Linked DNA regions of Solanum lycopersicum. The protein of the gene in region 1 binds, or shares a complex with, the protein of each later gene. Links are inferred from orthologs where the notes say so. Each region holds a gene or a part of one and is shown on either strand. Other genes may lie near its edges.

Region 1 (7,966 bases):
TCTACTAGGCTCCAAATTCGTAGTGAAAACCGACAATGTTGCCACTAGCTATTTTCAATCGCAGAAGATCTCACCAAAGCAGGCTCGTTGGCAGGATTTCTTGGCGGAATTTGACTACATCTTGGAATACAAACCAGGAAGGGGCAATGTAGTAGCCGATGCATTGAGCAGGAAGACTGACCTAGCGGCCATCTCCTCAATCCGTAGTGAATTCCAAGGCGCAATCAAAGATGGTATGCAACGCGATCCGAAAGCCAAGAAGATAATGCAACTGGCTGCTCAAGGCCAAACCAAACGGTTTTGGGTAGAAGACGGATTTTTGCTTACCACTGGCCGAAGAGTTTATGTACCCAAGTTCGGATTCATCAGGCGGCGTATTATCAAAGAAAGCCACGACACTCTGTGGGTTGGGCATCAAGGGCAGAAAAGAACGAGGGTGTTGATTGAGGCCTTCTATTTCTGGCCACGAATGCGGGAAGAGATTGAGCAGTATAAGCAGACTTGTCTTGTGTGCCAACAAGACAAGGTAGAGCAAAGGCAACCAGGAGGGCTGTTGGAGCCACTACCCGTAGCTGATCGTCCATGGGAGAGTATATCTATGGATTTCATCACTTCTTTGCCGAAGTCAAACGGGTTTGGCACAATTATGGTCGTAGTGGATAGATTCTCCAAAAATGCTACTTTCATGCCTGCCACAGCCGGTTGCACTGCTAAGGAGGCTGCACAATTGTTCTTCAAAAATGTAGTGAAGTATTGGGGGCTGCCGAGGTTCATCATTAGCGATCGGGATCCTCGTTTCACTGGGAACTTTTGGAGTGAACTCTTTGAAATTCTTGGTTCAAAACTTCACTTTTCCACCAGTTTTCACCCCCAAACTGACGGCCAGACTGAACGCGTCAACGCCTTGTTTGAGTGCTATCTTAGGCACTATGTCAGTGCGCACCAGAAAGATTGGGCTAAGCTCCTAGACATGGCGCAATTTTCTTATAACTTGCAGAGGAGTGAATCTACAGGGCGCACACCGTTTGAGTTGGCAACAGGTCAGCAACCCCAATCTGTTGGTTCTATTTGAAAACTATATTTGTGGGGTAGCAAGGTTGTTTCCGATAGAACTGGGATCAAAACAGAAGTTAACCGGAGCAGGGTTGCAAGAAGAAAAGATTTCAGCAAAATATCCAAATACAAAGCACGTGAAGCAATAGATAATAAAAAACATTGAAGAATAATAAACAACATGATTACTTAATACTAATAGGGAAGAGATGGGGCTAGCCCCCTGCCTCCCCCACCTAAAGAATAACAATACTCAACTAACTACTAACCTTCTAACCTAATCCTCGACTTCCTTACTTTCCTACCTAGGGTAATGTCCTCAGTCAGCTGAATTTGTGCCATGTCCTGTCTAATCACCCCACACCCCTCCCTGATTTTTTGTCAGCCTACCTATACCTCTCCTACCTCCTGCTATGACAACCTCTCACGCCTCCTAACGAGCATCTACGCACCTCCCCTTCACAAGCCCCAATTATCTTAACCCCACTTCCCTCATTTTGCATACCATGGAAGCCCACCTTGCCTCATATAACTTGGTTCCTACCCATATCTCTCCTGATATGCCCACACATCCATATGAGCGACCTCATCTCTTACATTCATTTTCTGAACATAGACATTCTTGACTGGACAACACTCCACCCCATTCAGCAATGTGGGTCTAACCACCACTATGTAGAACTTGCCTTAAGCCTAGACGACACCTTATCACATGGTACTTCGAAAATGAACCTCAATTTCGCCCGCCCCGCGCCCATATGATGTGTGACATCATCATCAATCTCCCCGTCTCCTTGGATAATAAACCCAAGATACTTGAAGCTCCCTCTCTTGGAAATGACTTGACATCGATCTTTACTTCCATCTCCCCCTCGTGCATTATGCCACTGAGTTTACTCTCCAGGTGCTTTATTTTAGTCTTGCTGAACTTGAAACCTTTAGACTCTAGGGCATGTCTCCAAACTTTCAGCTTATCATTAATTTTACCACTCATCTCATCAATTGACATTATGTCAAGTTCCAGATGTAAATCACAAAGTAATTGATGACGTCAATTACAAGATACAAAAACACGAGGTTGATCTCGAGGCTCAAAAGTTCCCAAAAAAAAACTTGAAAAATATTTCATTCTCCATTAAGTAAAATTCATAACTTTGCTTCCCTTTCTTTATTTTTGAGAAGTCACAAAATAGAGTGCCTTTAATCAATACGACCAATCTGGTAATAGAATTTCTTGGGACAAAGATAGCAGGAGCCAGCGACTTGCAATAGCCTGTACAGTAATACCTAGACCTCCTTTTAGCTCAATATTTCTATTAATTAACTACTAACTCTTTCCATACCATAACCAGGTCATTCAAAATGCTTAAATGTGAAAGCAAGTAATTTTCTAAATTATACCTTCTTATCCTACCTAACAGGCACCTCTGTTTATCCATGAGACCACAACCTATACAAACTATAATGAACAAACCACTCACAATACAGAGTCTTTAACTTCTAGATCACAAAATTGAAGACCAAGATATGAGACTAAATCAGTAACTACGAAACACCGGTTAAATGAATACAAAGTAACTCTTTACATTTTTTTTCCTGAAAAGTGGTAATGTATACAAAGTAAATCTTACTACAGAGAAAAAGATAAGCTATCGATCGCGATGAGCAACAAAGGGAATTCCAAGATGATTAATCTACTGCTAAATGATAAAACTGCTGATATATAGTACTAGAAAGTAAAAGTAGAAGTGATGATTGCACAACCTAGCATAAGAAGGAAGAACCAAGCATTTTAGCAAAAGTTACCTGTTTCTCAGCCATATATTTTTTACCATGCTCAACATTCTCCAGCAAATCCCTCTTGAGGTCTGCTTTAACATCCTCACGCCATTTCTTCCAATCATGATGCAAGTGGAGGCTAACGGCCTTTGGAACTACAACCTCCTTGTTTCCAAACATCCACTTCAATTCTATTTCAGGGAAACCCTTGACAACTTCATCCACTGGTGTGTTTACAACAAAACGTTTTTCATTGCCATATCTCTTCATTTTTTTCTTAATACGACTCTCAAGATTCCGTTGCATCTCTCTTGAGTCCTTAAGTGCTTGTTCTATTCGCTGACCGAACACCATAGAGTCTTGATCAAAAAGGAGTATATTGTCATCATCTTCCAAAATATTGGGTAGAACTATCTGCTCCAACAAATGTCTTTGAGCAGTTTGCAATTCTTCTTTTATCTCAGATCTAGAAAGCTTAGTGACAGGGCTTTTAGGCACGCTGCAAAGACACACAAGTATATAGAGCAATGTAAATGATTGGGAAAATATAGTTCACAAACAACATCAATAGTAAGTCTTGTTGTAAACAAAACTAACCTCATCTAAAGAACAAAAGGATATCTACAGCCTACAAGAATAACATGCTAAATGTCAATTATCTAGTCGCCAGTATAAAGTAGATTAGCTGACCATGGAACAAGTGCAATTGGCGTTGGAATTAAATTCTAGGTAATAGAACAGTGAACTAAACATTAAAACGTCTAGATAATGTATTGCTGGAAAATACCAAAGCAATTTAGGAGGTTAAATCCTAAAAGAAAGTAAAAGCAATCAGTTCACAACAGAGCCATCTGTTTTAGGTGCCAACTAAGTTATCATGCACAAAGGGGCAGTTCCTTCCCAAGATATCCCCAGAACCTAATTGCTCAAATAAAAAAATAAGGCTCAATGCCAAATTCATGCCAATATCCATCGTTTAAATTAATAAAGCTTTGCTGCCATTGCTTGTACAAAAGATATGTTGCGCTATTATACATCAAAAAAATTGTGTATAAGCTACTAAAATTCTAACAATGTCTTACCTCTCAATGCTTTGCAGCCTCATTTTCCTCAGAAACTCCGTAACCAAGATTTGACACTCCCTCTCAATAGATGCAAGTTCCCTCACACCAATGCTCAATGCAAGTGTTTCTCTCCTCATAATCTCATCATCTATCTCTGCAATCCTCTCCCATACCCTGTTATATTCCTCATCACTCTGTCTCACTTCCTCATCCAATTTTGCAACTTTTTCCTTTACTACTGCATCTTTTTCATTGCCCTTAGCCTTCTTCAATAAACTTTCCTCCTCCCTCTTATTCTTCAGCACTACATCAAGAATCTCGTCGGAACGATTGACCAAGGCATTTCTTTCCCCCTTTAACAATCTCAGTTCCGCATAGAGACCATTCATGATCTCCCCTTGCAACTCATTCCTCTTCATGTTGACCTCCTTTAGCTTTTCCTCCACACATTTCACATCCTCTTTACCAGATTTCACCTCCTCTATCACTCTAAGCAACCCTGTAACCGTCTCTAACAATCTCTTCGTACAATGTGAATATTGATGTCTAGTCTCAAGGGCATCTTTCCGTTTATTACTAGTTTTCTGTATCAGCTCAGCTGCGGCGGGGGGCGGTGCAGCAGCAACAGAAGCAGTAGCAGGGAATTGAAACCCGAAAACCGGGCACAATCCAAATGCAATAGAGAATAATGTGTACACTACAGGCTTTAAGATGGGTTTAAGAGGATTTTGGTCATCTGGGTTTGTGTCTTTTTGGGTGATAGAACATTTTATAAGTCTAGCTGGGGCTGAAGCAATAGGAATTCGTAAAAGACTTATGGGTTTACCTGGTTCATGGGAAGAGAGCTTTTTCGACCGAATTCGGCAATTGGAATGGCTATGGCGATTCAAGAATGGATTTTGAAGATTGAAGAATGCGGCAGTAGTAGTAGTAGAAGCATACATAATGAAGAGGTGTTATCTAGTCATGAAATTGGAAAATGGAGAGTAATGGCATGGTGCAGAAAGTTGAAGAGAAGCAGAGAAGAAGTAGGATAAGACCGGCGTTGGGGTTTTAAGTTTTAACCAAAAAACCCAGAGAAGAGACGGCGAGAGCAAATAGAATCCCAAATTAATCATGGGCTCTTCTTGTTCTAGTCTTTTTGCCATTTCTCTTTTCTTTTTTGTATTTCTTTTATTTTACTATCAAATATTTTTCATTTATTTCAAATTCTAAAATTAGAGTTATATTTGATCATATCTTTTTAATTAAGAACATGTAAAATTTGAATATATATGTTTTTTCAAATATAATTATATTTTTAATTTCTAAATTCTAACAAAATTATTTAACTTAACTAAAAAAAGTAATATCTCAAAATATAATATCATTAATTAGTTAGATCTCTTTATTGGCGCATGTTAAGCGACCTCTAAAATGCATTCTCTCCAATGGTTCGGGGACGAGCAAAGAGGAACATTAATACACAATTACTGGAGAAGAGGATTGAAGAACCTGCTCAAATAAAAAGTATATATTCAAGCTACCGTGGTAGCAATATCGCTAGTTATTTTTCTTTTTAGATTTGTACTTTATAAAATAAGGCAGAAATGGGTTAATTAAAGACATGGGCAAGGAATTCTTTGTTTGTTTCCATGTGTGCTCTATTCTAATATAGAAAATATAGATTTAGGTGACAGTATATATTAGATATGTTTATCTGGTTTTGAATTAGTGAAGAATATGTATATATTTCTCTGCACTCTTGTACCACGGTGAGTGCATCTCATATTGGACGTGTCGGACTATTATGTTTCCAACATCTCGTTGCAACTATGGTCATGTCTATAGGTCTAGGATCAACTTAAGACTTGTCAACGGATCGGAACCGGTTCTCGGATCAAAATGAACCGGTATCGAACCGAACGGGACGTGTTGATCGGTATGTTGATTGGTACTGGAATGAACCAGATTGGAATTACCGAAATAAATAATCGATTCTGTCCCGTTCCACTATATACTGAGATGGAATCGGAAAGAACCGGAATGGATCGTATGAAACGGAACGGGATAAACGGGATGACATTTTTTGAAATTACGAAAATATGATTATTTTTTTTATTTTTCTAAGTTTAAATTAATAGTTTTTAAATTTATACTATAATTTTTTACTTAAGTTTATTTTAAAGATATTTTTTTAATTTTTTATTATTATTAAGTTTGCAAGTAAAGTGTAATAAAGTTCTCAAAATTTAAATCTTTTGAAGTTTATACTTTATAAGTTATTACTTATTATTCATTAATATTTATTTTATAAGTTATATTTATAACTTGTGTCTTGTAAATTATAAATAAATAAAATTTGTAATTTAAAAAAAAAATAAATTAAAATAAGGATAAAACAATTACAAAAATTAAAAAATATCAATTTAATTTATTTAAATTTGTAACAAATTACAATTTCAATTTACAACTATTAGTAGAGTACATAGTTTACGCAGCCACCTTCTAGGAAGGGTTCTGTTTCAACTAAGTCTCGAATGTAATACTAATAGTTGTATGGTCCTGTAAATTCTCTTTCTAACTCAGATATAGATTGATTGTAATCAACTTCTGGTCTTGTTAAAGCTCGTTAACGATCTTGAAGTTCGACGCCATCATCACTACCACATCCAATAGCTGAATTTATGAAAAGTTCAAATTGACTATCTAACCTTGAAAGTCCTTGATTTCTACGCTCAACATTTATCCAGTCTCTAAATAACACTGATATCTTCAAGCTGTCTTCTGCTAACAAATATATGTGGTCTCCAATTTGAAATCTTGTCGCGCTGAAAACTACCTCCGAAGCTACTGATGATCCTTGAATTGCAAGTACATCCTTCACCATCCTACTAAGTTTTGAAAATTGAGTTCCACGATTCCTCCACCAGTTCAATAGTTGCGGTATACCTTCATCGTTTGTAATATCATCCGAACCCTGTTCAAGATATTTAACAAATTTACATTTATTAGAAGAGTCAAGACCAAGTTTATGTTTCACTCGTCCATGAGCACCTACTTGATTCATAGACGTTTGAGGATTTTCAACATTATCTAAGAAAGAATATTTATCATACATTTCTTTAGCAAAGAACTTATACTATTTTGACATGTTACCAAATCAAGTTCTTGTTCAGGTTGAATATCTAAATTCCGATAAATGCATTCAACTAAAGTTTTTGCACCTTATTCTTTATATTCAGAGTTGAAAAGAATTGCAGTTAAATAAATTTAATGGATAGGGGGAAAAAATCTTAAATTTTGTAATCATAACTTCAATAGCAGAGGTAAATAAAGCATTTATATTATATTCAGAAAAGATAGATGAAATCTCACATATGTATATTAAAATTTCAGAAATAGTAGGATAATATATTCTAGAAAAATTTTTAGTAGCATCATAAAATGATTTCAAAAATATTCTAAGTTCATTTACTTCATCCCAATCACTATCATTAAGTTTTAATTCAGGATAAACATTATGATTATTAAATAGCATAGTAATAGGTTGCCTATATGCATAAACAACTTCAAGCATATCATATAAGAAATTCCATCTAGTTTTTACATACTTTAGAACTTTTCTAAACGGAAGTTTAAATGCATTACAAAGTTCTTTAAATTAATTAATTCTACTGCTACTATTTATATGAAAATGTAAAAATAAGCATTATCAATTTTATCACAACTATTTTCAAATGATTTCACAGTGTCACTAACAACCAAATTTAATATATGTGCTGCACATCTAACATGAAAAACATATTTACTAATAGGACAAGGTCTAGGTTCTAAGCATATTAATAGCATTTAAATTAACAGAAGCATTATCTAAAGTAATACTAACGACTTTATCAGAAAGATCGAAAAAATTTAAAATTTCCAACACAGTAATAACAATATTAATTTTGGTTTTTTTCTTTTGACAAATTTTATAACCAAGAATTCTTTTTTGTAAATTTCAATTATAATCGATCCAATGCGCAGTAACAGTTAAATAGTCAAAACCATTAGGACTACGTCCCATATCAGTAGTAATAGCAACTTTA
Region 2 (8,028 bases), on another chromosome or scaffold:
TAACTTATGTTCGATAAACGAAACCATTAAACTTAACCCGAAAACAAGCTAAAAAAAGCCCAATTCAAAACGGGTCAAGTATATTATAAAAAGGATGGCTGACATTTCTCTTATCTTTTTATCTCGAAGATTTTGCCATTGTGGCTCCATAATCCCCTCGGTGAGTTCATCTCTTTTCCCCTCTTCTGTAAATTCAATGTTTTTTTCTTGTACTATGTTTAATTGGGTGTTCGAAAATGTATTTAATTTTAGCTGACTCGCAAATCTTGGTTTACTATTCTCTCCATTTCAATTTGTTTGTGTGGTTCGACTTTGGCAAATAATATAAGAAAGTAAAGATTTTTTTTTAATCAAGTGGGGTTGAAGTAAAACTAATGTTATGTCGAATGTATCAAAATGTTGTTTAATGTGAAAAGTTAGAATTGAAGAGTTGCTATTGGAAATTGAAATGGAGGGGGTTAGTATTTATGCTTCACTAGGATTTGAACTTGAGACGTTATGGTTATCAATCTACTTTATTGACCGCTACTAATATTTTAGGTGGACTGCAATCTTGATGAACATACTAGTGTTTATTTTGTTGTTGATACTGGTTTCCTTTGATTCCTCTTTGTTTTGTGGTTTAAAGACTTGTCCTTTATGATTAAATATGGTTCTTTTATGACCAATTGCTTGCGTAAGGACTTATTTGCGGAATATTTTGTGGTGTAGAGTTTGCGAAATGCGTTTGTGGTGGAGGGGGGTTGATGTTTGGTGTAATTTTGAAAAGAAAAACAATGAGTGGAAGTAATGTGTATTGAAATGCAAGAGATATATAATGGAGTAAAGATAGTTGTAATGAGGACTTAAGGTACTTCTATTGTTAGGAGTGTGTGTTTTGTATTTTTTTTGAAGATTGATAATAAGCTCAGCAAATTGGTTTTATATTTTGATAAAGCTGAGTATTAAGAAATGACAATATTATCTAAACAGTGGTTGGAGCGAGCGATAAGGAGAAAGAGCTGAAATCGTAGTAAAAGGAAATGACTTATCTCATAAGTGAGAGTAGTTATTTCCCCCTTTTGATGGAAAACTTTTTTTCTTAGGAAATATGTTTAGGACCATTTTTATCACTCTTCTACTGTTTTAGTCATACCGAGCAGTGTTAAAGTCAGAGTCAAACCTTCTGTAGACTTACTATCAAAAATATATTTCTCCAATTTGTGTTCGCGATGATCCGGGGAAATTTTAGATTGGCGATTAAGATCCTTGGTAGTTGTTATGGTAATAGTTTTGTCCTCTTAGTAGTTCTATGCTCATATTTTTCCCATTGTTAAATATCACTTCCTTTCCTTTAGGCCTCTCATCTCTGATAGTAAGTACCACGAGAGGCTACTGAATTTCTTTGTTTTCTTTGCAGCGTATAAATGGCAGTGAGTTTGAGTCTTGTTTCCTCATTCAAAGGACTCTCCTTATCTTCCAATTCTCTCCTTGGGGTTTCTCTTCCCATTGCCCCTAAGTTCTCCGTTTCCTTCCCGTTGAAATCTCCATTGACAATTGAGTCTGCACACAAGAAAGGAGCTGGTAGCACTAAGAATGGTCGAGATTCTCCTGGACAGAGGCTTGGTGTCAAGATTTATGGTGACCAAGTCGCCAAGCCCGGTTCTATAATCGTTCGCCAGCGCGGTACAAAGGTTTCAATTTTACTTCTTCTGGATCTCCTCTCTCTTTTTTATTTTTGCCTAAAACTCGTATTTGCTGTGGAAGTTCTGATAGTTCTTTTGATTAATTAATAGTGCTTGAAATGAATTCGGATGAACCCACCCAAGTAGAGTGTAATTCCAGTTTTTTTGCTCAATACCTCACAAACATACTAGGTCCTGGCATCTTGTCAATAACTCTGCTCCATTCGTCTGGCTTTCTTCGTTTGGTTTGTATATTATTTGTTAGAAATATGTGGATTGTCTAGAGGGCGTTAGATTGAGTACAAAACAAGGTACTAGAGGGATACATATCTTGTCATTTGAAGTAACAGATTGCTATAAGGTTTAAGGTTTTGAGCTCGTGTCGTGAAGACATAGTTGGAAGTTCTCTTTAAGAAATGCACATTTGTTATAATCCGACTTGAGTTTTTTTTCTTTGCCGAAAGTGTCAGTTTCTGACAGTATGATGCTATGAGTAGATGTCGTCTTCTATCAGTTAGATAGTAAAAGGGTTTATGCCAGAGGTTGGTATTAGTTTTACTTTTTTTCGGCTCTGATATGATCCTGTTATCGTCTGTTTGTTTGCTCTAAGAGTAGTTCAAAAGTTGCATTCTCCGTTTAGCATTGCCATATATTCTGTTCCCTAATCGTTCTCGTGGTGATATTTCCAGTTCCACCCAGGAAAGAATGTTGGACTTGGCAAAGATCACACAATATTTTCTTTGATTGATGGACTAGTCAAATTTGAAAAGTTTGGACCTGACAGGAAAAAGGTTGAGTTCTTTAGCTTACTGCTTGTAGATATGTGGTACACGAGTGTTATTAACGTATACTGACTGTGCAGATAAGTGTTTATCCACGCGAGGTGCAACCTGAAAACCCCAACAGCTATAGAAACCGAAAGAGAGAGTCCTTCAGATTACAACGTGAACGTAGAAAGGCACGAAGAGAAGGTGTCATCCCTGAGCCTCAGTTGATAGTTGCTTCTGCTGCTGAATCCTCTGAAGATAATCCCATCACCACTTGCTGATAATGGTCTTTCGATTTTTCAAACATTCTGTTGTCGTTTTGGTTATTGCTAGTAGCTACTTGGGAACACATTTGCAGGCACATTTTCTAAACTGTGTTTCTGCCATTGTTGTCTTTTTTTGTTTGTAAATTGTGTTACTGAAAGCATGAGTCTTTGTCACAGTTTGTATGAGTACAGAATGAAATGTATGATTCAGAAGATGCAGCTTTGCACAATAGCACAACCAAAAGAGTTTTGAGTTTTCATTCGGTTTAAGTGTTCAGTTGGTAAAATCACAACTAAAATAATCCAATTTCAGAGACCTTCCACGTTATTCCGCCGCAGAAGCTAGTAGTAAGAGAAATCTTCTAATTTTAAGGAAATTTGAAGATTTTATCAGCAAATTTATGATCAAATTTAAACTGTTTAACAACCGTTTCATATAAATTAGGAGGATGAGAGTATATTTAAAAGAATAATGAGTAGTACATAAAAGGGTTCATTTGATATTAGAAGGAATATTAAATTTGGAATAATCTGTGGTCATATGATAAGTTATCTTATTATATATACCATAGAAAATTAATCCAATAGGATAAATTTGTTTATCTCATCTCTCGTATAAAAATAGTGACTGTGAAAACAATTAAGTGTAATTATAATTAATTTTAAAATAAAATATTTCATCCCTTTTAGTGGTTATCTTATTAAAAATAAGTTAATTTGAAAAAAAGTTATTCCATCAGCCATACGACATAACTTATTTCGTCAGCCCAGGGACGAAAATAGTAGGATAAATAATCCAAAAGAAAAAAAAACAAACTATGTAATACCCTATATCAAAATTGAAATAAAATAATCTTACATTTTATGGCGAGTTTATTATACGATCCCAAAACAAATACTCCGACCCGGAACCCGACTCTGGTGCTGAACAAATTTGTGGCAGCCATTTCTCTGTTCTCTTTGTAGAGGATTTTGTGATTCTGGTTGTTCTTCATCTTGCGATTTGCGACCCTCGGTGAGTTCATCTATTTATTTTATTTAATTTTTCTCATGTTTAAGTTTAGTTGTAATATGTGTCAAATCGCACTAGGCAAGCCCTGTGCCAAATTTTAGCTGACTGCAATCTTGATGAACAAACTAGAGTTGGTACTGTGATTTTTTCTGATTTCTCTGTGTTTGTGGTTTAAAGACTTGTCCTTTTTGGTTAAATTGTGAACCCTTTATCACCAATTGTTTGGTTAATGCTTTATTTGCGGAATTATTTTTTTGATGTAGAGTTTGAGAATGAGACTATGGAGGAAGGTAGATGATGTTAGGCGTTATCTTGAAAAGAAGAGTAAATGTGAATGTGATGTGTATTGCTAAGGAGCAAGAGATAGTTGTAATGAGGACTAAAGGTGATTTTTCCATTTAGGTGTGTTAGGCATGAAGGAAAATGCTTTTCCGAAAAATAAGTTGTGAGTATTATATGTGAGCATTGGTTGGAGCTAGCCGAGGAAGTGGTGAACTCTGCGTTCACTCTACCCTCCCCAGACCCCACTTAGCGGGATTGTCACTGGGTATGTTGTTGTGTTGGTTGGAGCTAGCGATATGGAGTAAGAATTGAAATAGCAGTAAAAGGACATGACTTGTGAGATAAGTGAGGAGAAGTCATTTTCCTCTTTTGGTGGAAAACATTTTCAGCAACCAAACACGAAAAAATAACTTCTTATATTTGAAGTTAACTAATTTTAACATGTATTTGTGGAAAATGATTCTAGTCACAGACTGAACAGTGCCAAAATCACAATCAGACTTTTCTAGACTTACTATTAAAAATGTATTTTTCCGATTTGTGTTGGTGATGATCGGAGTATATTTTGGATTGGTTATAATATTCTTCTTGGTTGTTTTTTTATGTCAATCGTTAGTTCTATGGTCATCTTTTTCCCCATTTTATACTTGGTACGCTTTGGCATATCCTAATACGGTGAAATAGAAATGCGCCTTAGTCTTGAATTCCTTTATGATATTCATCTTGTTACCTTTATTTAAACTTCCAAGATATTTCAGGCTGTTATTGATACTGTGCTATTATGACATTAGATTCTACTATAGTCCTAATTGGTATGCTTGGGTTGTTCCCGAGTTTTGAAACTCTTTTTACTAGTAAAAGTTACATAACCTTTTTCATTCCATGGGCAAATGCTAAGAGGGTAACCTAAAACCATCTGTATATTGAACATACTAATCAAATAAAAGAAGGTACTGGACTGCAAATTAAATAGCACTAGACGTTTAAATTAGGAAAAATGATGCAATTGTAGAATTTATCAGTGCAAGATGCCTTTTGTGGCGTACATAATCCAAACCTGTACTGATGATATCTTTGAACAGCAGGTTAATTGAACTGCTCTTGAGTCCTAAAGTCATTTGTACCTATTTATGTTTGATGCATATTTCAGTTTGTATTTAGATTGAGAGGAACCAAATAATGCAGTCACTGGTAGCCATATCAGCCATTGCTTATCAAGTTTTTATGCTTTTTCGATCTTTTGGCATTTTATTTGTAGAATTATTTGCCATCTGTCCGTGTCCGAGCTTTGGTAGACCGTAGATAAGAGTTACATGATACTTGTTGCTGGTGGGTTCTTGATTCTAGTACACTACAACGACTGGTTTCGGGATAGATATCTTATTTACACATATTAAGTGAATTATTAACATAATTACAAAGTTTGGGCCAAACTTCTCTGGATTCTGTGAACCCGTAGCTTGTGGTGTAGATCCGCCCCAAGGGAGAAAACTGTTGAATGAAAATTTGTTAGTAAATTTACTCCAAAGCAAGAATAAAAATGGAAAACTCTTAACAATTTCTGTGAATTATGAATCTAGTGCCTGTTGGCTGCAAAGTGACTCAGAATTTATGGAATGGTACTCACGAGAACCATAAGACCGGCAAGCTATCCAAGATGATATTTGGAAGCCTATCTCGCTCTTAGTGTTATATAATAGGTCTGTTAGACCATGTTCTGTATATGCTTGATCAAGTTGTTCTCAAAAGTCATTACACACAGCCAGTAGAAAAGTGCTGATTGCTGAAAGTGAAATAGAGTGACTGTTGCTGCATGGGTGATGAATCATATTGGTGCGCATGAAGCTTAGACTCTCCAAAAATGTTATTGAACTTGTGTTGAATCCTCCAAAAATGCTACTTTTGAAGGATCTGGCTCGCACTTGTTGGCATTTTTGAAGAGTCGGAGCAACTTAGTTTTGTCCAGTCATCCTACTTATAGACATCTATATTGATTATCTCACACTCTCGCTCTGAACTTTAAGCATTTCTATCCTTGAAGCCTTTGATTTGTTTCGTTGAGAAAAAAGAAAGTTGATAATGATCATATGCTACCAAGATGTTCTTACTTTCTATACTGCTCCTGAAAGTATTGACACACAGCTCCTCCTTCCGCGTGTTTATTGTCCATTTTATCTTCAGATTATTGAGATGCCTTTCTATTTGTGGTTTAGTGTTTGTTAAACTTCAGCATATCCATTTTCGTCTTGCCACATTCTCTTGTTTGCATCAGTCATCAGGTTCTTGAAGTTGACCAGTGATGGGAAATAGGCCAGCAAAGCCGGAGAGAGATGAGGTGCTTTTGAAGATTGTGCCTCCTCTAGATCAAGCATACGTTAGATGGCTTGCTCGTGATCTCGAGAGAATTCATGGCTTCACTCCAAGAAACCCTCGTGCTGTAAGGCCACCCGATCATTACATAGAATACATGCGTTTACAGGGATGGTTGGATGTCAGCTTAGATGACCCCGACCTTGCTCATCTACTTAAATAGTGAAGTATATCAACTGCAATACTCTTAAGAACATGTATAAACTTCAAATTGATGTTTAGTTTTCTGTACTGGTACATTGAGATTCAGATCCTGTGTATGATTTTATGAAATGGAAATCTTGTGAAATATCACTTGTTTGCTTGAGCTATGTGACTTTATTAGTATGAGTTTGCAATTATTTTCCCCTAGAGGGTCGCGGCGCGATCCTATCGGATCACTTTACCCTTAATCATAACTCTCGTGTTCGAACCATGGAATAGAAAAAACTTGTAGAAAATGCTCCCCCTTCTAATGACCTTTCAGTAGTTTGGGGTCTTCGAAAACAACCTTTCTATCTTGTATCTCCACGAGATAAAAGATAAACTCTGGATATATTTTACTCTCCACTAGGTTTCAATGATAACGTTGAAAATTTCTTTTTATCTAGTAGTGTGACTTTTGATTTAAAATCTCACTAGCGATTAAAACGACAACCTGATCTATAATGAATAGTGATTGATTATACATATCTGCAAATCGATAAGTCGAATCGAACCACATCCCTAATCGAATAGACCCTTAATATATATTTTTTACAATAACACAAATATTGTTATTTGTTTAACATAATACGTCTCAAAAGTTATATGACTATATAAGTACTATCATGTTGTACACTAACTAATATACATGGTCGATGACTAGATATGATTATTACTTTGCAAGTAATTTTTCTTCAACCGATTGATTAAACATATTAAAGTTTTTATCAATAATTTTTTTTTTCATGGAGCCCATAGAATTCAATTTGACATGTGAAAATGGAGGGTGCAAACTAAATCCAAACTTTATCATTAAACTATAATTGCATAATCATATTATTAAAAAAAAAAAACATAGTACTAAAGTACCATTTATTTACTTTGATTAATTAATTTTTATAATATATAGTATTTTTTTATTTACAAATAACTGCAAATTCCCTCCACCTATATATCCGAACCAAATTCCCTCTCTTTCTTCTTCTTGTTCTTCCCTTTCTCTCTCTTCCCGCTATTTTTTTTTCCCTTTTCCCAATTTCAGATCTCATCTTTTTCCACTCAATTCTCCTTTTTTTCCCATCAATTCTCACTTTTTTGACAAACCCCTTATGCCTAAAACTTCAAGAATCGAAAAGGGTTTTCAATTTTATCTCTTGTTTTGTCACTGAAAACAAAAAGATCGATTTTTTTGGGAATTTTGGGAGTTTTTAGCAGGTGGGGTTGTTTAAAAACGAAGGTTTTAGCAGATCATGAAACCCCAACAGCAGCAGCAGCAGCAACAATCTTTGAAGCGTCAGCTTCAGTTTTCGTCGATTAAACCGGTATTTGGTGACTACCACCGGTTTTCCACAGAACCAGTTGATTGTTCCACTCAAGAACCCCCTGGAATTGTTGTGAAGACTCCGGTGAGCTTTTTTTTTTTTTTACTGTTATTTTAGCGTCTTACTGATGTAATATAGGTGTGTGGTGTAAATTGAACAGTG
Region 3 (8,161 bases), on another chromosome or scaffold:
GGGTTATGCCATCATTGACGAAGTGTTTTTTGTTTTGGCCCTCTAATTCAATAATAAGAGTCACTGTTTATTTTTAGTTTGATGAACTATTATTATTATTATTTTTACTATTGTTGTAATCTAGCCAGACATATGATATTTAGTTCCAAAAAAAATTATATCTCCATAAAGTGTAGCAGTAATATCCTCTCCCTCTTCGAATTTCGATGCTTACTTCTTTATCTTTCAGAAAGATATTGGTTTCTTCATGTTTCATTAACTATTACATGTAATATTTCATTCACAAAATGTATCTTCCTGGTTTCTTTCCATTTGCCCTACTGCAGGCACAAAGCGAAATTACGTAAAATTATAAATAGGGTGTTTTCAGTTGTGAGAAATAGAAAATAGCCGTTAAAAACTATGGCCGATTGGGCAAACCTTCCAAACGATCTTATTGCTCACATCGCAAATCGTGTTAAAGTGATTGAAGATTTTATTGCTTTTGGTGCAGTTTGTATTTCTTGGCGAATTGCCGCTACAAAGGTAAATTTCGATCTGCTTTCTCCTCAAGTTCCGAGTCATGAGCTAGAGTTCTGTCTCGAGGTGAGAGTGAGAGTCAAGTCTTGGGTTGAGACCAAGGGTAGGGGCTCAAGTCACGAGTTAGGGTGGAATTGGAGGTCGATATCGGATTTAATGTTAGGTTAGAATTGAGGTATGGGTTCATTCTTGAATTTATGTCCCGAGTTGGGTCGAGGTCACAATAGGCAGGGATAAGGGTTGTTGGTCAAACCTCAAAGCTCGAGCCTTATGGATGGTATCAATGAACCATAGTAAAGTGTGGGATTGGGAAGGTGGAGCATTTAAAAAGAATAGGACTTAAATTGGGCGAGTCCTGACCCCCCAATTTTAGTCCAATCTATTTCAACTCAAATAACTTTAGGGTCAACTCAGTTTAATTTTAACTTATTTAGTTTCAACTCAAACCGCTCATTTGACACCCTTATGTGCGACCATTGTTCGATATTTTTTAAATACTTTCAAAGAACTTTACGGCTTAATTTCATTCCAACCGGCTCATCTGAACTCTACCTCTAGTTGTTAGAAACGAGTTCTTATCACTATTACATCAAAGACTTTCTTTGGTTGGAAACAAATTCTCTCGAAGTTAATTGAGAATTAATCATACATAATACAATTTTGAGATAATTTCTTCCACGGTTATATCCCAATCAAACATTTTGATAATAAGGATGAATTTTAAAATTTACAATCAAACAATAAGATTTAAAATTTGCAAACGAAATATGAGAATGCTCATAGAATAAATAAATTAGTATATAACATAGTAAAAAAAAAAGAAATTAAACAAACTAGCAAATTATTTGTGATGGTATAATCCAAGTAGGCGGAGAAATATGACTAAGTGACAATCCAGGATATATAGATTCAACTTTTCCGTCTTTAAAATTATAAGACCCCATATCTCTACCACCATCCAAATAGTCAAATTCGTCCTTCCAATCGTCAGTAAAATATATATAATTAGGCTTGATTTCAGGAAATTTAGTAGAGTCAATTGAGCATGTTCCTGTATTAAGGCCCAAAAAAATAGTTGAATTTCCCAAAGTTTTAATCTCATCTTCCTCTTTTAATTCGCCGCCCTTGACTACATCTACTTCAAAAACTTTAAATTTATATGTCTTATATCTATGAAGCTCCGGATGATGAGCAAATCGGGTAATAAATAATAGTTTATCTGATAGCTGGACCAGGTAATATTGAACTGAAGGCTGCAGAAATATGTCATGTTCGGACCAATAAAGCAAGTGTGGCTCTACTGCGTTTGGTTTGGGAGTAGCAGGCCCTGGAAAACCCAAAATTCACCACTAGCTGTAACATAATAGAATTTACCCTTATAATAATTGATACCCATGACAGCACCCGAATTCTCCATCTCAATATTTGTTCAACTGAGATCTCCAGAAAGCCAAGCGAGTAATATTTGCGTGATAGTTAACCACGAGTACATAATCTGAGGTAACACAAGGACTTGCAGATAAGATAGCATGCTCTAGAAGGTTCCAGAACACTTCATCTCCGAGACCATTAGAAGCCATTAAGTTATCTCGTGAAGGAAGTTGAATTTGGGTACGAGACAAATGATGCAACAAGTTCATCTCTCCGGTAGTATCATCCATGGTGCAGAGCCATCCTTCCGAGGGAAAACAATATCGTTGTCTAGCTTCGGGGAGAAACAAAGGAGTAACTTTCTGCTTGATAAGAGAGTAAAATTCTCGGCAATCATCATGTTTGTCAGCCAACATAAGTAAAGGAGTTTTGGTAAAAAAGATATCAAATTTATGGTTAGGGGTAGTAGCAATTTGCCAAGAGGTACAAACACAAGTAAAGAATAGGAAATCTTTAGGTGATTCAATACGATTTGCAATCATAGCAAGGAGATCCATCGATAATTCTGCCCAGCCGCCTGCCATGAAGAAGAACGAGTTGTAGTTCTATTTTTTTTTTTGGTTACAAACTGCAATATATATTGGCGCAAGTTTTCCTATTTTTATTCGTATTTCTATATTAATAAGGATTTTGAACAAGCCCAAAAATATTTGTATTCATATATTGACAAGGTTTCGTAAGGGGAAGACAAATTAAATACTAATGATGAAGTCAAAAATAGTCTAATTACACTTAATAACTATAGTTTGATAATTGCAATTCGTAACTACATGTTATAAGGATAGTTTGATAATTGCAATTCGTAACTACATGTTATAAGGAGAAGAGTGGCGAGCGAGACTGGAAGAGGGAGGAGAGAAGCGAACGAGAGAGGGCAGAGAGATGAATTGTAATGTATATTGGTTAGATAATTTATATTATCTATATGTATTTGTATATTCTGACGAGAGAGATTAGGAAAGGAAGGAGAGAGGCGAACGAGATTGGGAGAGAGAAAAGACATAGCGAGATATGACAATAATTTGTATAATTCGATTGTACGTTTGTATAATTCACGTATCTTCATATAATTTTGAGTAATATAAAGTCTGGAATTACACAAATATAATAAAATTCGAAATACCGAATTGATACAAGCATAAACATATGAACTTGAAACAATTATACAAAATATATTATACAAATTGCAGTATACAAAATTCAAAAACTACACGTTTATACAAACTTAAAAAAGTTAAAAAAATAAAAATTGAATGTATATAATGACAAAATTGAAAAACCAAAGAAATCATCATCATTAACAAATATAAACAATCTTATACAAATACAAATCAAAAAAAGAATTATTAGTTGCGAATTACACAAATATGACGAATTATACATATACAAACGTGATTAATATACAAATTCAAAAGCAACTCACAAAATTAATGTATAATATTAATCGCAAATAATAATTATAGCAAGTTATATCTATGATAAGTAATTAAATACTATAAAAATTTACTTAACCAGCATAATTATACTTAATTAGAACAGGCGGTAAACACTAAATGCAGATACGGGTCGTTGGGTCACCCGTTTTACAATTCGGATTCGGATAAACTCCATCTTCTCCCTTGCCTCTTTCGCCATAACACTCTGAGAACAAACAAATTGCAGAGCTAAAAGGACTCCAATTGGTTCAGTAAAAATGCTTCTTCACAAATCCAAAATCTCAGTTCAATGAGTATCAGTTCAGTAAACATGTCTTTTTCAACAGGTAACAATTTTATATCAGCAAGGTCCATTCTTCATCCAAAGCCCAACATTCAGCTTCAAAGTTCATTCGTAATCAAATCCCCATTTCAGAAAAGTTATACAAATCCTATTTTTCATAGAAATTTCAGAAAAAGATCACATTTTTACCATTCCCCATATGCAATTCTTGGAAAATGGAGGTCTAATTCGAAGTCCTCTGAAGAAGGGGCAAGCAATAATGAAGATTTTGTGACTAGGGTTTTGAAAGAAAACCCAAGCCAAGTGGAACCCAAATATCTAATTGGGAATAAACTTTACACTCTAAAGGAAAAAGAGGATTTGGGTAAGAAGGGTTTATTGAATGGTGGTGTTTTGGAGATACTAAAAAGGTTAAATATTAAAGGAATGGTGAAGAATGGAAGTGATGAGGGTAGTTTAATGAAGTCTGGGGATGTGTTTTTGAAGGATATTTTGAGGGAGTATAAAGGGAAGTTATATGTTCCTGAGCAAATTTTTGGTGCTAATTTGTCTGAAGAAGAAGAATTTGAAAAAAATGTTGAAGATTTGCCTAAGATGAGCTTGAAGGATTTTCAGAAGTATATGAAATTTGATAAGATAAAGTTGTTGACTTTTAAAGAGGATACTGGAGCTTCTTTGGGATTGGGGTCTAGAGATTTTATTGTTGAGTTGAAGGAGATGCCCGGAGAGAAGAGCTTGCAGAGAACTAAATGGTTAGTATCATAAACTTGTTCATTTCTTTCACTTCAGATTATAGATTTTGATGTTTATGTGATCATTCTACAGGGCAATGAAGCTGGATCAAAATCAAGCTCAGGCTTTACTAGAGGAGTACACTGGGCCAAGATATGAAGTCGAGAAGCAAATGATGGTATTTCATTTATTTTGGTGCTTTGTTCAATAATGCATAGTGACATTAGCTTCATTATCGGATGGGGAAAAAATTAACAACGACAACAAACCTAGTGTAATACCACAAGTGGGGTCTGGGGGAGGGTAGAGTGTAGGGAGACCTTACCCCAACCTTGAGAAGGTAGACAGGTTATTTCCGATAGATCCCCAGCTCAAAGAACGTTAAAAAAGAGGTCATAGCTACTAGCAGAAACAACAATTAGATAATAAGATACCCATGGTTAAAGGAACAACATGTAGAAATAGAAATATAAAATAGGAAAACAAGAATAAAACTAATGATCTATCGGAACTTAAACGTGTAGCTTAAGCAGACGGTGGTTTGCTATGATTTATAAGCCTGAATTAATTTATTAGTTAACAACCACTTGTACTGAAGTATAGTTCTCTTGATGATGTTTTGTTTTCTTATTTGATAGACAATTCTTCTTTTCAACAACATATAGTTATCGGTCATCAACCGAATGCACTGATTGCAAGTTTCAGATGAAAACTTAATTACTGTTTCTCATTATGTCTTGATTCATTGTGGTTACTATCTCTTGACAGGAAATTCCTGTGAAGGTTTTATGCAATTTGCCTTTACTCTCTTCGGGTAAAATGTTAACTAAATTTAGATTATCTGTTTGGCCTAGTGGCTTGGAATCTTTTATTGTTGACTGTTTTCAAAAAAATACTCAAGCTTGCCTGCCTTGTTGTGCTAGTTACTAATTAAACAGAAAAGGCCTTCTTGTGTACAGTTCTAAGAAACACATAAAGAAATATTTGAATTCGACAAAAAGACGAGTAAGCAGACAAGTAGAAGCTGCCATGAGAAAGTAACAATATAGTTGGAGTATATGTGTATTTAAAACTCAAATATAGATGTACCTGCAGACAAAAGCATATCGGCTGCTAATTTGTTACTAGGCACTGAAGTTAATGCTGTTATCTGATGGTTATATTTCTGTTTAACTGTTACCCTTTGTGGGTATAAATTCATTACATATTTAGTTACTCTGGAACCATACGGCAGAGTCTGCATAATGCAGTAGAAAGCTTTTAGGGTTAGCGGAAGATGGTGAAATTTGAAACTGGAAAACACGACTTCAGTTTGGAAAACTTGAGCAATAAATGAGTTTAATGTAGACTGTTGATTCATTTATGTGCAGTCCATTGGGATTTGGGACGAGTTTTTTTCTTTTCCTTTCTTTTGCAGTAAGTATATAGTTGGAGTGACATTTGTTGTGCAGAAGTGATAGCAGCATCTAAATGTCAACTGACAGTCTAAAAAGTGATATACAGAATTGTCTTTCAATCTAATTATATGATGCTTGGAAAGAAGAGCACAATTTCAGTAATCAAATCTGCCATTTCTTTGAGATCATATATTTCCTGAAGTGTAGACAAATCAACGTCGTGTTATACTGGTGGCAGTCTGTATGGTGACTGTATCACGAGGGAAAAGACTAAAGAGTAATTAAAGTATCTGAAAAGGTTCTCAAGTCCCTTAGCATAAGGTTGTTGTATCTCTTCTTTTTAGCTTAAGATTGACCTTATAGTCTCTTGAGCCTTGAAGGAAATAGGTGCTTTCTCTAGTTATGCAATTGGCAAGATTGTAGAACTTAAGTTTGGTGGGATAAGAATGTGGTTTAACGGGTGGAAACTCTTTGCTTTTCAAGTATGTTGGAAAACCTTTCTTTCTTTTTTCTTTTGCCTCTTACATAGTGATCCTATTGCAGTCTTGGGTGGGAAAATTACCTGAGTATCCTAATCCAGCTGCATCGAAGATATCAAGCAGAGTAATGGTAGAACTTGGAATGCTGACCGCTGCAATGACTGCTGCTGCGGTGATTGTGGGTGCTTTCCTGGCTTCAGCTGTATTTGCTGTGACAAGCTTTGTCTTTGTCGTCACTGTGTATGTCATGTGGCCTGTGGCCAAACCATTTCTTAAGCTGTTCTTTGGTCTCATCTTTGGTATCTTGGAAAGAGTGTGGGATAAGGTTGGTGATGCCTTTACTGATGGAGGAATTTTCTCCAAGTTGTATGAATTGTACACATTTGGTGGTGTCTCTGCCAGTATTGAGATGCTGAAACCAATCATGCTTGTTTTTGTGACTATGGTTCTTCTTGTCCGATTTACTCTTTCGCGAAGACCTAAGAACTTTAGAAAGTGGGTGAGTAATACTCCCTGTCCTAGAATTCGCAGTTTAGAAACACCTGCTTCTTGCAAATTCAAAATGTTGTGTGCTTCATTCAGGATATATGGCAAGGCATAGAATTCTCTCAGTCAAAGCCACAAGCACGTGTTGATGTGAGTTTCTAGTTTCTCACACTCTCTGGTCACAAAAATTCACAACTTTTCATCTGTAGATTATGGCCAATATTTTGTCTAAGTAAGAAGTTTCTGTTTAGGGTTCAACTGGAGTCACATTTAATGATGTAGCTGGGATTGAGGAAGCAGTGGAAGAACTTCAAGAGGTAACAGCGCCTTACACCACATATAATACTTCCTTATTGTGTATTCCCTCCATCCCAATTTATGTGATGTAGTTTGTCTGGGCACAGAGTTTTCAGAAATACGAGAAGTGTTTGCCATATTCCAAAACTACCCTTAATAAATGAATTTTTATATAGAAGAGCACATCTTTGTAGACTTTTTGCCAAATAAGTGGTCCAATATGGGTAAAGTGTTGATAGTGTCATTAAACATTTACCAAAGAAGGAAAGTGTGTCACGTAAACTAGGATAGGGAGAGTAATATTCTCTTACATTATAATGTGTGAAAGCTTGTCCCTCAGCCACAACCTTTAGCTTAATGGTTCTAATTCCTTCCATTTTTTGCCAACTAGTTGGTAAGATACCTGAAGAATCCTGAACTATTTGATAAATTGGGGATCAAGCCCCCACATGGAGTTCTTCTGGAGGGACCTCCTGGATGTGGAAAGGTATGCTATCCATTTCAGACCTTAGATTGGATTCCCAAAAAAAAAGTAGAGGGTCTTCACTAAAATTATATATGATGCTTTTCTCAGACCCTGGTTGCCAAGGCAATAGCAGGTGAAGCTGGTGTTCCTTTTTACCAAATGGCGGGTTCTGAATTTGTGGAAGTTCTAGTCGGTGTTGGTTCTGCTCGTATTAGAGATTTGTTCAAGAGAGCCAAGGTGAGCATAATACGTAGTCAATGAACCATGTGACTTCCCTTATTATGTTTTGAATAATGCCCTAATTGTTGTCACAGGTGAATAAACCATCAGTTATCTTCATTGACGAAATTGATGCACTCGCAACCAGGTATGGATATTTGTCTAAATAAGTAATGGTGAACGTGTTTTTTTTTTACTGGTTTAGCTTAGCACAAAGGAAAATCTGGAGCTGAAGCATCTGGGCATTTTTCATCTAAGTAACCCCTTTAGTGGTAGAACTATTGAAATTGGGTTTTAGAACCTGAAGTTACTAATGTCATGTTGTGGACAATGCTAATGTCGTCAGTGTGTAGCTGTCTAGATATTCTTTTTAATCGTAAAGAAATAACTTAGTCATTCATAAATGACATGTAGAC

Evidence for each region.
Region 2: the proteins of probable inactive ATP-dependent zinc metalloprotease FTSHI 5, chloroplastic (region 1) and uncharacterized protein LOC101244341 are in contact, whole or in part, in a cryo-EM structure (PDB 8XKU), measured with the Arabidopsis thaliana proteins. The link is inferred for Solanum lycopersicum from reciprocal best matches to the Arabidopsis thaliana genes emb2458 and AT5G22210. Residues at the interface, in NP_187084.6 of Arabidopsis thaliana: Lys294, Phe302, Arg305, Phe309, Arg404, Ile405, Arg408, Glu424, Phe431, Pro432, Glu435, Val436, Val446, Val447, Pro448, Lys449, Gln452, Leu453, His454, Arg456, His457, Gly458, Trp459, Lys461, Trp462, Gln463, Ala466, Lys467, Leu470, Lys471; in NP_680207.1 of Arabidopsis thaliana: Glu14, Ile15, His16, Lys18, Val20, Pro21, Pro22, Leu23, Asp24, Val26, Phe27, Leu28, Trp30, Leu31, Arg33, Arg37, Val38, His39, Phe41, Lys42, Pro43, Lys44, Asn45, Thr47, Arg48, Ala49, Ile50, Thr51, Pro52, Pro53.
Region 3: the proteins of probable inactive ATP-dependent zinc metalloprotease FTSHI 5, chloroplastic (region 1) and probable inactive ATP-dependent zinc metalloprotease FTSHI 1, chloroplastic are in contact, whole or in part, in a cryo-EM structure (PDB 8XKV), measured with the Arabidopsis thaliana proteins. The link is inferred for Solanum lycopersicum from reciprocal best matches to the Arabidopsis thaliana genes emb2458 and FtsHi1. Residues at the interface, in NP_187084.6 of Arabidopsis thaliana: Arg815, Gln902, Lys934, Glu938, Arg942, Pro943, Asp947, Arg948, Thr1148, Glu1149, Ser1150, Arg1151, Ser1152, Leu1154, Gln1198, Tyr1199, Trp1201, Asp1205, Pro1207, Ala1208, Val1209, Tyr1210, Tyr1211, Ala1212, Asn1214, Ala1215, Val1216, Ser1217, Ala1218, Leu1219; in NP_567691.1 of Arabidopsis thaliana: Ser497, Val500, Glu653, Leu656, Arg660, Leu678, Arg684, Gln692, Gly693, Arg696, Arg697, Gly731, Gln732, Leu763, Arg766, Val771, Ile772, Tyr773, Gly774, Ser775, Asp776, Thr777, Ser778, Lys779, Ala780, Val782, Leu785, Ser786, Ser789, Arg793.

Annotation. Positions count from the first base shown.
Region 1 is NC_090801.1:45,932,231-45,940,196, reverse strand, and holds the start of probable inactive ATP-dependent zinc metalloprotease FTSHI 5, chloroplastic, read right to left. Parts: upstream 5,045-7,966; 5' UTR 4,841-5,044; coding exon 3,915-4,840; intron 3,332-3,914; coding exon 2,860-3,331; intron 1-2,859. UniProt on the Arabidopsis thaliana protein: Required for plastid development during embryogenesis. Might be involved in chaperone functions or play a structural role in the thylakoid FtsH complex.
Region 2 is NC_090810.1:58,845,300-58,853,327, reverse strand, and holds uncharacterized protein LOC101244341, read left to right. Parts: upstream 1-3,579; 5' UTR 3,580-3,712; intron 3,713-6,263; 5' UTR 6,264-6,290; coding exon 6,291-6,524; 3' UTR 6,525-6,671; downstream 6,672-8,028. Other genes in the region: 50S ribosomal protein L27, read left to right, coding at 1,407-1,673, 2,354-2,455, 2,527-2,712; transcription factor E2FB, read left to right, coding at 7,795-7,950.
Region 3 is NC_090807.1:67,502,859-67,511,019, forward strand, and holds the start of probable inactive ATP-dependent zinc metalloprotease FTSHI 1, chloroplastic, read left to right. Parts: upstream 1-3,511; 5' UTR 3,512-3,675; coding exon 3,676-4,421; intron 4,422-4,494; coding exon 4,495-4,579; intron 4,580-6,341; coding exon 6,342-6,776; intron 6,777-6,859; coding exon 6,860-6,913; intron 6,914-7,014; coding exon 7,015-7,080; intron 7,081-7,451; coding exon 7,452-7,547; intron 7,548-7,634; coding exon 7,635-7,763; intron 7,764-7,840; coding exon 7,841-7,893; intron 7,894-8,161. UniProt on the Arabidopsis thaliana protein: Functions in chloroplast biogenesis and chloroplast division. Required for plastid development during embryogenesis. Might be involved in chaperone functions or play a structural role in the thylakoid FtsH complex.